Macaca fascicularis: one gene and its partner. The protein of the gene in region 1 interacts with the protein of each later gene in a biochemical or structural test. Links are inferred from orthologs where the notes say so. Each region holds a gene or a part of one and is shown on either strand. Other genes may lie near its edges. The genes, in order: GADD45A and EEF1A1.

Region 1 (4,236 bases):
CTTTGGCTGTACAGCAACCTTAATAATGCAAGCACTGTTTTGAATGCAAGCATGTGGGAGCCGTTTTCACCACTTTTGGTGACTTCAGTAGGTTTAAGAAATGTTTTTGCATTTATTGCATAAACCATAAAACAAAGGAAGGGACTTTTGAACTACTCAGTGAGAGTCTATATATTAAAGTTTGTTTTTCAAAATGTGTAACTACCATTTGCAGTTTTAAAGGTCTGCTTTCCACCTGCAAGTTGCCATTATCTCAAAGGTGAAATTTTAGCATATGACTAAAAACTTCCTATAGTTACGGCTTCATGATTCAGCATCTAACATCAATAATTCACAGTGAGATCACACAGGAGGCTCTCTGTGGAAGGTAGTGACATACATACGTTAGGAAAGGAAGCTTAGGGCATATCAAGAGCATTTTGAATTTAGACTTGTGGGCTGTGTGGGTGTCAGATGGTTGTCTCTCGACTGGTGGGCGTCCAGAAGGATCCTTGTTTGGGCAAGGCTCTTTGAGAAAGGAGAATCTGGGTTGCCAGGGATTCCCACATGTGGTCACCAGCTCCCCACGCAGACCAGCTCACGATTTCCCAGTTACAGCGGGCAGGTGGGAAACCGTTCTGCATTCTGTGGAAAAGACTCCAACTTGGTTCCCTGCCATCCCTGAATACAAACGGGTTGGTTTTTCTTTTTTGAGCTTCCAACCCTTGCAGCTTTCCAAAAATAAATCAAACCAGCCATCAGGGCACCGAAATAATACTACTGCTAATAAGCAGCTTCGCCTAGACTTAGATAAACAACACTTCTGAGGTAAACTTTGCCCCAGAGGTCTGGAGACACTTTTTTAATGTAAACTGCTTACTAATAATTACTAGACTTAGGTGCATTAACCCTGGAAATAGATTTTAATAGCCACCCCTTAAAACAAAAGGCATGAAACGATAATAAGAAAAAAGTGCCGCGACTATTATAAAAAAACACTTGGCAGCCTGCTTCAGCCCAAGCTAAGGCTACCTCCCGCCTCTGCTGAAGCCCTCCACTCCCAGTGGTCCCCGCCAACCGGATAAGAGAGCGCGCGGGACCCGCCTTCCTCTCTCTGCACCGCCCCCGTCCCCGCCCCCGCCCCCGCCCCCTCGGCTCGCCTCCCGCGTGGCTCCTCCCTTTTCCGCTCCTCTCAACCTGACTCCAGGAGCTAGGGTCAAATTGCCGGAGCAGGCTGATTTGCATAGCCCAATGGCCAAGATGCATGCAAATGAGGCGGAAGGTGGTTGGCTGAGGGTTGGCAGGATAACGCCGACGAGCGGGGCCCTTTGTCCTCCAGTGGCTGGTAAGCAGTGGCTGCGAGGCAGCTGCCCAATTAGTGTCGTGAGGCCGGTGGCGAGGCGAGGGCCGGAGAGCGAGCGAACGAGCAAGCGGGGCGGGAGGGGTGGCCGAAGCTGCGGCGGCTGGCACAGGAGGAGGAGCCCGGGCGGGCGTGGGGCAGCCGGACAGCGCCGGGGCCTGAGCTCCCGGCGCGGCGCCTGTGAGTGAGTGCAGAAAGCAGGCGCTGGCGCGCTCGCCGTGGCAGGAGCAGCCCGCACGCCGCGCTCTCTCCGTGGGCGACCTGCAGTTTGCAATATGACTTTGGAGGAATTCTCGGCTGGAGAGCAGAAGACCGAAAGGTAAATCGGCCTGCGGACTCTTCCGGCCCGAACTTCTCTCACCTACCCCGCGCTCCCGGGTGCAGGCGGGCTGTGGAAGGTTTGCAGGGGAGGAAGCAGAAAAGTTTGCACAGGGCAACTCCCGCCCTTGCTCCCTCGGGACTCTCCGTGTAGCGTCCGCGGACTGAAAGAGCATGCCCCGCAACCCGAACGAGCCCCGCCGGGGCCTTTGCAAAGGGCAGCAGTGGCCGTCGCTGCCCTTGCGGCTCCTGGGGCTAGCAGCCTGTGGCAGGGGCACTCTCGGGACTTCTCATGGGACGCCCGGTCCTTGGGCGTGCAGGGGTCATGGGGGGTGACGGGGCCGCGGGAGCGCCGGGTTTTCGGAGAGCCCAGGTGCGCGGTGGTGCTTGCATTCGAGAGGGAGGGGCGTGGTGCCGGGCAATGGGGGCGGCGATGGGCCCGAGGGCACCGGGGCTGACGGGACCCCTCGCCCTTGCCCGCGTGTAGGATGGATAAGGTGGGGGATGCCCTGGAGGAAGTGCTCAGCAAAGCCCTGAGTCAGCGCACGATCACTGTCGGGGTGTACGAAGCGGCCAAACTGCTCAACGTGTAAGTGGGGCCCTTGCGCGTCTCCCGTGGCACCCCTTCCCGCCCTAGCCCGGGAGGTCGCCTTGGCTGGGCGCCCCTCGCCCGGCCGCGCCACTTCCTGTCGCTTTTCTTCTGCCCCCGCGGCTGCCTGTCCCGGAGGGGAGGGGGCGAGCTGGCCGGGCGGCGACCCCCGGAGACCCAGGCAGGGGTTGAGGGCGTCCGCGGTTCTGCGCTCACTGGCCCCGCCCGCTGCCCCCAGCGACCCCGATAACGTGGTGTTGTGCCTGCTGGCGGCGGACGAGGACGACGACCGAGATGTGGCTCTGCAGATCCACTTCACCCTGATCCAGGCGTTCTGCTGCGAGAACGACATCAACATCCTGCGCGTCAGCAACCCGGGCCGGCTGGCGGAGCTCCTGCTCTTGGAGACCGACGCTGGCCCCGCGGCGACCGAGGGCGCCGAGCAGCCCCCGGACCTGCACTGCGTGCTGGTGACGGTAAGGGGCAGGGGGACTGCAGCCTGCGGGGTAGAGCCCCGGAAGGACGGGAGTCAGGGCTGGGTCGCCTGATTGTGGATCTGGGGTAGGTTTGGGTCAGGAGGGTGCTGCCTTTGCCCCACGAGAGTGTGGCTGGACTTTCAGCCGAGATGTACTAGTTTCATCATCAGGATAATCTGTGGTACAGAACATGTCTAAGCATGCTGGGGACTGCCAGCAGCGGAAGAGATCCCTGTGAGTCAGCAGTCAGCCCAGCTACTCCCTACCTACATCTGCATTGCCTCCCGTGACTAATTCCTTTAGCAGGGCAGATTAGATAAAGCCAAATGAATTCCTGGCTCACCCCTCATTAAGGAGTCAGCTTCATTCTCTGCCAGTCAGAGCTAAAAATAGAAATTGTGTAGGAGACAAACCTTGTTAATTCCCTAGAAATACATTAAGAGGATAGAGTGGAATTTTTTTCTCTGCAATCTTGCATTTTTTTAATGGGCCTTTTTTTTTTTTTTACTCTTCTGATAAAAACCTTTGGTAGGTAGGGAAGTTATGTTTTCAGGGATAAGTGTGCTACTTTTGTCTTCTAAATTTTGCTTTTTGACTGGTCTAGTCAAGTGACAGCCGGATTATTTTGCTACTCCTTAAAAGTACTACTCTGTCTCTTGGGAGTAGAGTTGATGGCAATTCCAGTTAACTGCTGTGCAGCTCTCATCTCATTGTGCACACAGCATGGAAATCTTTCTCAAAACTGTTTCACTCAGGTCAGGGTAACAAGTTTGGTAGAGCAAACCCGTGAATGATACTCTCATGCAAAACTGAACAGATATGCAAACATATGTATGTGGTTCAGCTTGGGTTGCATGGGTTCAGACTTTGCAGTGTGTAGTTTAATAGGTAATTACCCTTAACGATTTTGCACGGAACCCAACTACTTTGAAGAAACTTTAATTTTTTGTGCTTCTAATTTGTCTCCATGTCACGTAGCCAAAATATAGAATGTTCAAGTGTCTTCTCCTCAAAAGTGTAATACTAGCAAATATCGATTTTTTAAAAATAAGTTTATTTTTCTAAATTTGTTTCCAGAATCCACATTCATCTCAATGGAAGGATCCTGCCTTAAGTCAACTTATTTGTTTTTGCCGGGAAAGTCGCTACATGGATCAGTGGGTTCCGGTGATTAATCTCCCTGAACGGTGATGGCATCTGAATGAAAATAACTGAACCAAATTGCACTGAAGTTTTTGAAATACCTTTGTAGTTACTCAAGCAGTTACTCCCTACACTGATGCAAGGATTACAGAAACTGATGTCAAGGGGCTGAGTGAGTTCAACTACATGTTCTGGGGGCCCGGAGATAGATGACTTTGCAGATGGAAAGAGGTGAAAATGAAGAAGGAAGCTGTGTTGAAACAGAAAAATAAGTCAAAAGGAACAAAAATTACAAAGAACCATGCAGGAAGGAAAACTATGTATTAATTTAGAATGGTTGAGTTACATTAAAATAAACCAAATCTGTTAAA
Region 2 (4,409 bases), on another chromosome or scaffold:
CCATTTTGTGCAAAAAGAAGGTAAAATTTTTAAAAAGAATATATGTCTATATTTGCTTATTATGCATAAACTATCTGTTGCCCATTGCTGCTCCATCTATACCATGTGGGTGGTAGGATTACAATAAATATTGCAAATACTAGAACAGTGCCTGTCACACTAAAACACCATTTTATTTGGATTCTCAGTCCAAGTAGTTCCTTGGCTTAATCATATTCTAAAATACCCCTTTAAATATATATATATATATATATATATATATGTGTGTGTGTGTGTGTATACACACACATATATATATAGTGTTTTTCTGAGATGGAGTCTTACTTTGTTACCCAGGCTAGAGTGCAGTGGCACGATTTCTGCTCACTGCAACCTCCTCCTCCCAGGTTCAAGCGATTCTCCTGCCTCAGCCGCCCATGTAGCTGTGATTACAGGTGCACACCACCATGCCTGGTTAATTTTTGTATTTTTAGTAGAGACGGGAGTCTCACCATGTTAGCCAGCCTGGTCTCGAACTCTTACCTCAGGTGATCCACCTGCCTCAGCCTCCCAAAGTGCTGGGATTACAGGCGTGAGCCATCACACCTGGCTATCATCTTTTCTTCAGCGGTAGATACAGCAGATAAAAAGATTTAAAAATCATTTTCACGTGGCAAGCCATGGCAAAATGTAACTACTTAAGGCTGCTTTAAATTAGACTAATAGCAGAGTGATTAGACTATATTGAAAGCTCAGTGAATCACAATTATGTACCTCAAAGAAGGATTCTTGTTTGCCTTATTACTATGTAAATAACTGAAATAATTGTTTTTCTTCCTAAAAGGGGTCATGTAGATGTTTACTTACAATGTATTTTAAGTTTGTCACTCTAAATGGTTATGAGCAAGCGAGACCGTCCTGGCTAACACGGTGAAACCCCGTCTCTACTAAAAATACAAAAAATTAGCCGGGCGTGGTGGCGGGCGCCTGTAGTCCCAGCTACTCGGGAGGCTGAGGCAGGAGAATGGCGTGAACCCGGGAAGGGGAGCTTGCAGTGAGCCGAGATCGCGCCACTGCATTCCAGCCTGGGCGACAGAGCAAGACCCCATCTCCAAAAAAAAAAAAAAAAGGAAAAACCTTCAACAAATATCACCTTAGATTATAACCCCAAAACATATTTACGAGCCTCAACATCATTACTGTTACCGCTTTAACATTTAAGACAGTAAAAAGCATAATGGATCTCCCGTACGGTGCGGGGAATCCGTTATGATTATGTTGAAAACATAGGGTCTGGGGAAAAAGGGATTTAAAATAAGAAGGAAAAAAAAGACTTGAGACTTAAAAAGTTTTTTAGAGGCCAGCTCACGGTGACAAAAACCGACCCTCACCCCGAGCCACGTGAGGTTTTCTGCCTCCTCCCTGGCCTTTCCTTCCGCAGTCAGAAGGCGGAAGAAAAGCGACCTCAAGGTGGGGGGAGAGACAGGGCGGACCCTGGCGACCTGACGCTGGGGAGGCTCGAGTGGCGGATCCATACCGCTCAGCTGTTCGCCGCGGGACCCCGCCGGCCCGCAGGTGACCCAGCGCTGGAGAAACGCCAGCGATGTGGCCTGGCGAGCTGGCGCGGCGCAAGGACCACCCGCGCCCGCCTTGCCGCCCCAGCCTCCCTCCCTAGGAAGCCGGGCGCGCCGGGTGAGCGCGGGGCTTCCCCGGGACCGGCGTTCCAGTCCCTCTCCAGCTTCCGGCCCACCCCTGCCGGACTGAGAGCAGATATGTGATCTCTGCCCTGAGAAAATGCTCGTGGCCAGCGACTACCCCAACGCACAATAATACGGCTCCGATGGGCTCAAAGGTATTGGTTTTTTGTTTTGTTTTGAGACAAGGTCTCACTCCGTCACCCAGGATGGAGTGCAATTGCGTGATCTTGGCTCACTGCAACCTCCGCTTCCCGGGCTCAAGCGATTCTCCTGCCTCAGCCTCCCGAGCAGCTGGGATTACAGGCATGCGCCACCACGCCCGGCTAATTTTGTATTTTTAGTAGAGACAGGGTTTCACCATGTTGACCAGGCTGGTCTCGAACTCCTGGCCTCAAGTTATACGTCCGCCTTGGCCTCCCAAGGTGCTGGTATTATAGGCATTGAGCCACGGCGCCCGGTCCAGTGTTGGTTCTTAAACGCAAGAATTGAGATCTCCCTTCACCTAATGAAAGTCTCTATCGCAAGCCACTATCGCAATACTCAGAACACCCAGTCGGTGTTGCGCAATAGGTTACTAAGGTATAAATCAAGGATTCATGTAATTTTGCCATTCCTTGCGTGATATTTTAAAAAACATTCTCTGTAAGGTATTTATAAAGCGTTTACTATTATCCGCAATCACAGGGGCTTGAGGAAAAACTTTTGACTGTGGCTGGGCGCTGTGGCTCACGCCTGTAATCCCAGCACTATGGGAGACTGAGGCGGGTGGATCACTTGAGGTCAGCAGTTCGAGACCAGCCTGGCCAACATGGTGAAACTCCGTCTCTTCTAAAAATACAAAAATTTGTGGGGCGCGCTTGTAGCCCCAGCTACTCCGGAGACTGAGGCAGGAGAATAGCTTGAACCTGGGAGGCAGAACTTGCAGTGAGCCGAGATCGCGCCACTGCACCCCAGCCTGGGCAACAGAGTAGGACTCCATCCGGAAAAAAAAAAAAGGAAAAAAAAGTGGACTGTGAAAACCGAATGGACTAGGAAAACTTTATACTACAAAGATACAAAAACCAAGAAAGCACCATACGCGTTTGCCTTTAACTGCTTCCCAACTTGTTTTCCTCTTCCAATTTGATTGTGGGTTCCTCTCCAGAAGGAACTCCACAGTACTTAGCGTTGGCCACATAGTAGGTTCTCAAATACTTGTTAATAAATAAGTTTGTTCGAGAAGCTGGGCAGTAATATTCTACAGCTGGAAGAAGAAACATAATGATCTAGTAATTAGCTCATTAAAAATAAACGTTCTTCATTCCTCAGAGGAGCATTTCCCAAGGCCTGTCTTGATAGCCATCCAAAACGGCCAAGCTCATCCAATCTTGCCCTAGATTTATGCTAAAATGCAGTTACAATCTATAGGATGACAGAAAAAGAAAGCACTTATTTAAATATAATAGGCACTTATTTAAATAGGAGAAGCTGTGACTTCATAGCAAGTGTTGGGGTTAGGAAACTGGGTGGATAAACTTGCTGATGCTGTAGATCTTAGTCTCTACATGAGATCACGTGGAAAATCTGAATTTGAAAGCTTTTTAGCTTCCTTATGTTTGCAATCAAATGACTGTACACCTTTTAATTTAAAAAGTACCATGAGGCACACACACACTCGCAGGAACTTTTTGGCGTAACAAAACTAGAATTAGATCTAAAGCTAACTGTAGGACTGAGTCTATTCTAAACTGAAAGCCTGGACATCTGGAGTACCAGGGGGAGATGACGTGTTACGGGCTTTGATAAAAGCAGCTGGCTTTGAATGGAAGGAGCCAAGAGGCCAGCACAGGAGCGGATTCGTCGAGCTCACGGCCATCGAGCCGAACCTCTCGCAGGTCCGTGAGCCGTTAAGGAGTCCTCCAGTCCAGACCCTTCGCCCCAAGCCCCTCGGGGTCCCCGGGCCTGGTACTCCTTGCCACGCGGGAGGGGCGCGGAAGCCGGGGCGGAGGAGGAGCCAACCCGGGGCTGGGCTGAGACCGGCAGAAGACGACGCTCTAGGGATTTGTCACGGACTAGCGAGATAGCAAGGCTGAGGACAGGAGGCTGATTGGGGGGCGAAGGTACACCCTAATCTCAACACAACCTTTGGGGCTAAGCTAGCAATGGTAGAGGAAAGATTCTGGACGTCCCTTCCAGGCCGCCACCTCGTCGCCTCCCCCTCCCCCTCCTCTTCCCCCCCCGCCCCGGCCGGAGCTGAGAGTAATTCATACAAAAGGACTCGCCCCTGCCTTGGGGAATCCCAGGGACCGTCGTTAAACTCCCACTAACCTAGAACCCAGAGATCGCTGCGTTCCCGCCCCCTCACACGCCCGCTCTCGTCATCACCAAGGTGGAGAAGAGCATGCGTGAGGCTCCGGTGCCCGTCAGTGGGCAGAGCGCACATCGCCCACAGTCCCCGAGAAGTTGGGGGGAGGGGTCGGCAATTGAACCGGTGCCTAGAGAAGGTGGCGCGGGGTAAACTGGGAAAGTGATGTCGTGTACTGGCTCCGCCCTTTTCCCGAGGGTGGGGGAGAACCGTATATAAGTGCAGTAGTCGCTGTGAACGTTCTTTTTCGCAACGGGTTTGCCGCCAGAACACAGGTAAGTACTGTGTGTGGCTCCTGCGGGCCTGGCCTCTTTACGGGCTATGGCCCTCGCGTGCCTTTTATTACTTACACGCCCCTGGCCGCTGTACGTGATTCTTGATCCCGAGCT

What was found.
Region 2: the proteins of GADD45A (region 1) and EEF1A1 form a complex in vitro, tested with the Homo sapiens proteins (2 studies listed by BioGRID). The link is inferred for Macaca fascicularis from reciprocal best matches to the Homo sapiens genes GADD45A and EEF1A1.

The regions. Positions count from the first base shown.
Region 1 is NC_088375.1:166,989,721-166,993,956, reverse strand, and holds the start of GADD45A (growth arrest and DNA damage-inducible protein GADD45 alpha), read left to right. Parts: upstream 1-1,316; 5' UTR 1,317-1,614; coding exon 1,615-1,658; intron 1,659-2,144; coding exon 2,145-2,246; intron 2,247-2,484; coding exon 2,485-2,722; intron 2,723-3,799; coding exon 3,800-3,913; 3' UTR 3,914-4,236. UniProt on the Homo sapiens protein: In T-cells, functions as a regulator of p38 MAPKs by inhibiting p88 phosphorylation and activity.
Region 2 is NC_088378.1:101,521,071-101,525,479, forward strand, and holds the start of EEF1A1 (elongation factor 1-alpha 1), read left to right. Parts: upstream 1-1,422; 5' UTR 1,423-1,831; intron 1,832-4,260; exon of another isoform or gene 4,261-4,295; intron 4,296-4,409. UniProt on the Homo sapiens protein: Translation elongation factor that catalyzes the GTP-dependent binding of aminoacyl-tRNA (aa-tRNA) to the A-site of ribosomes during the elongation phase of protein synthesis.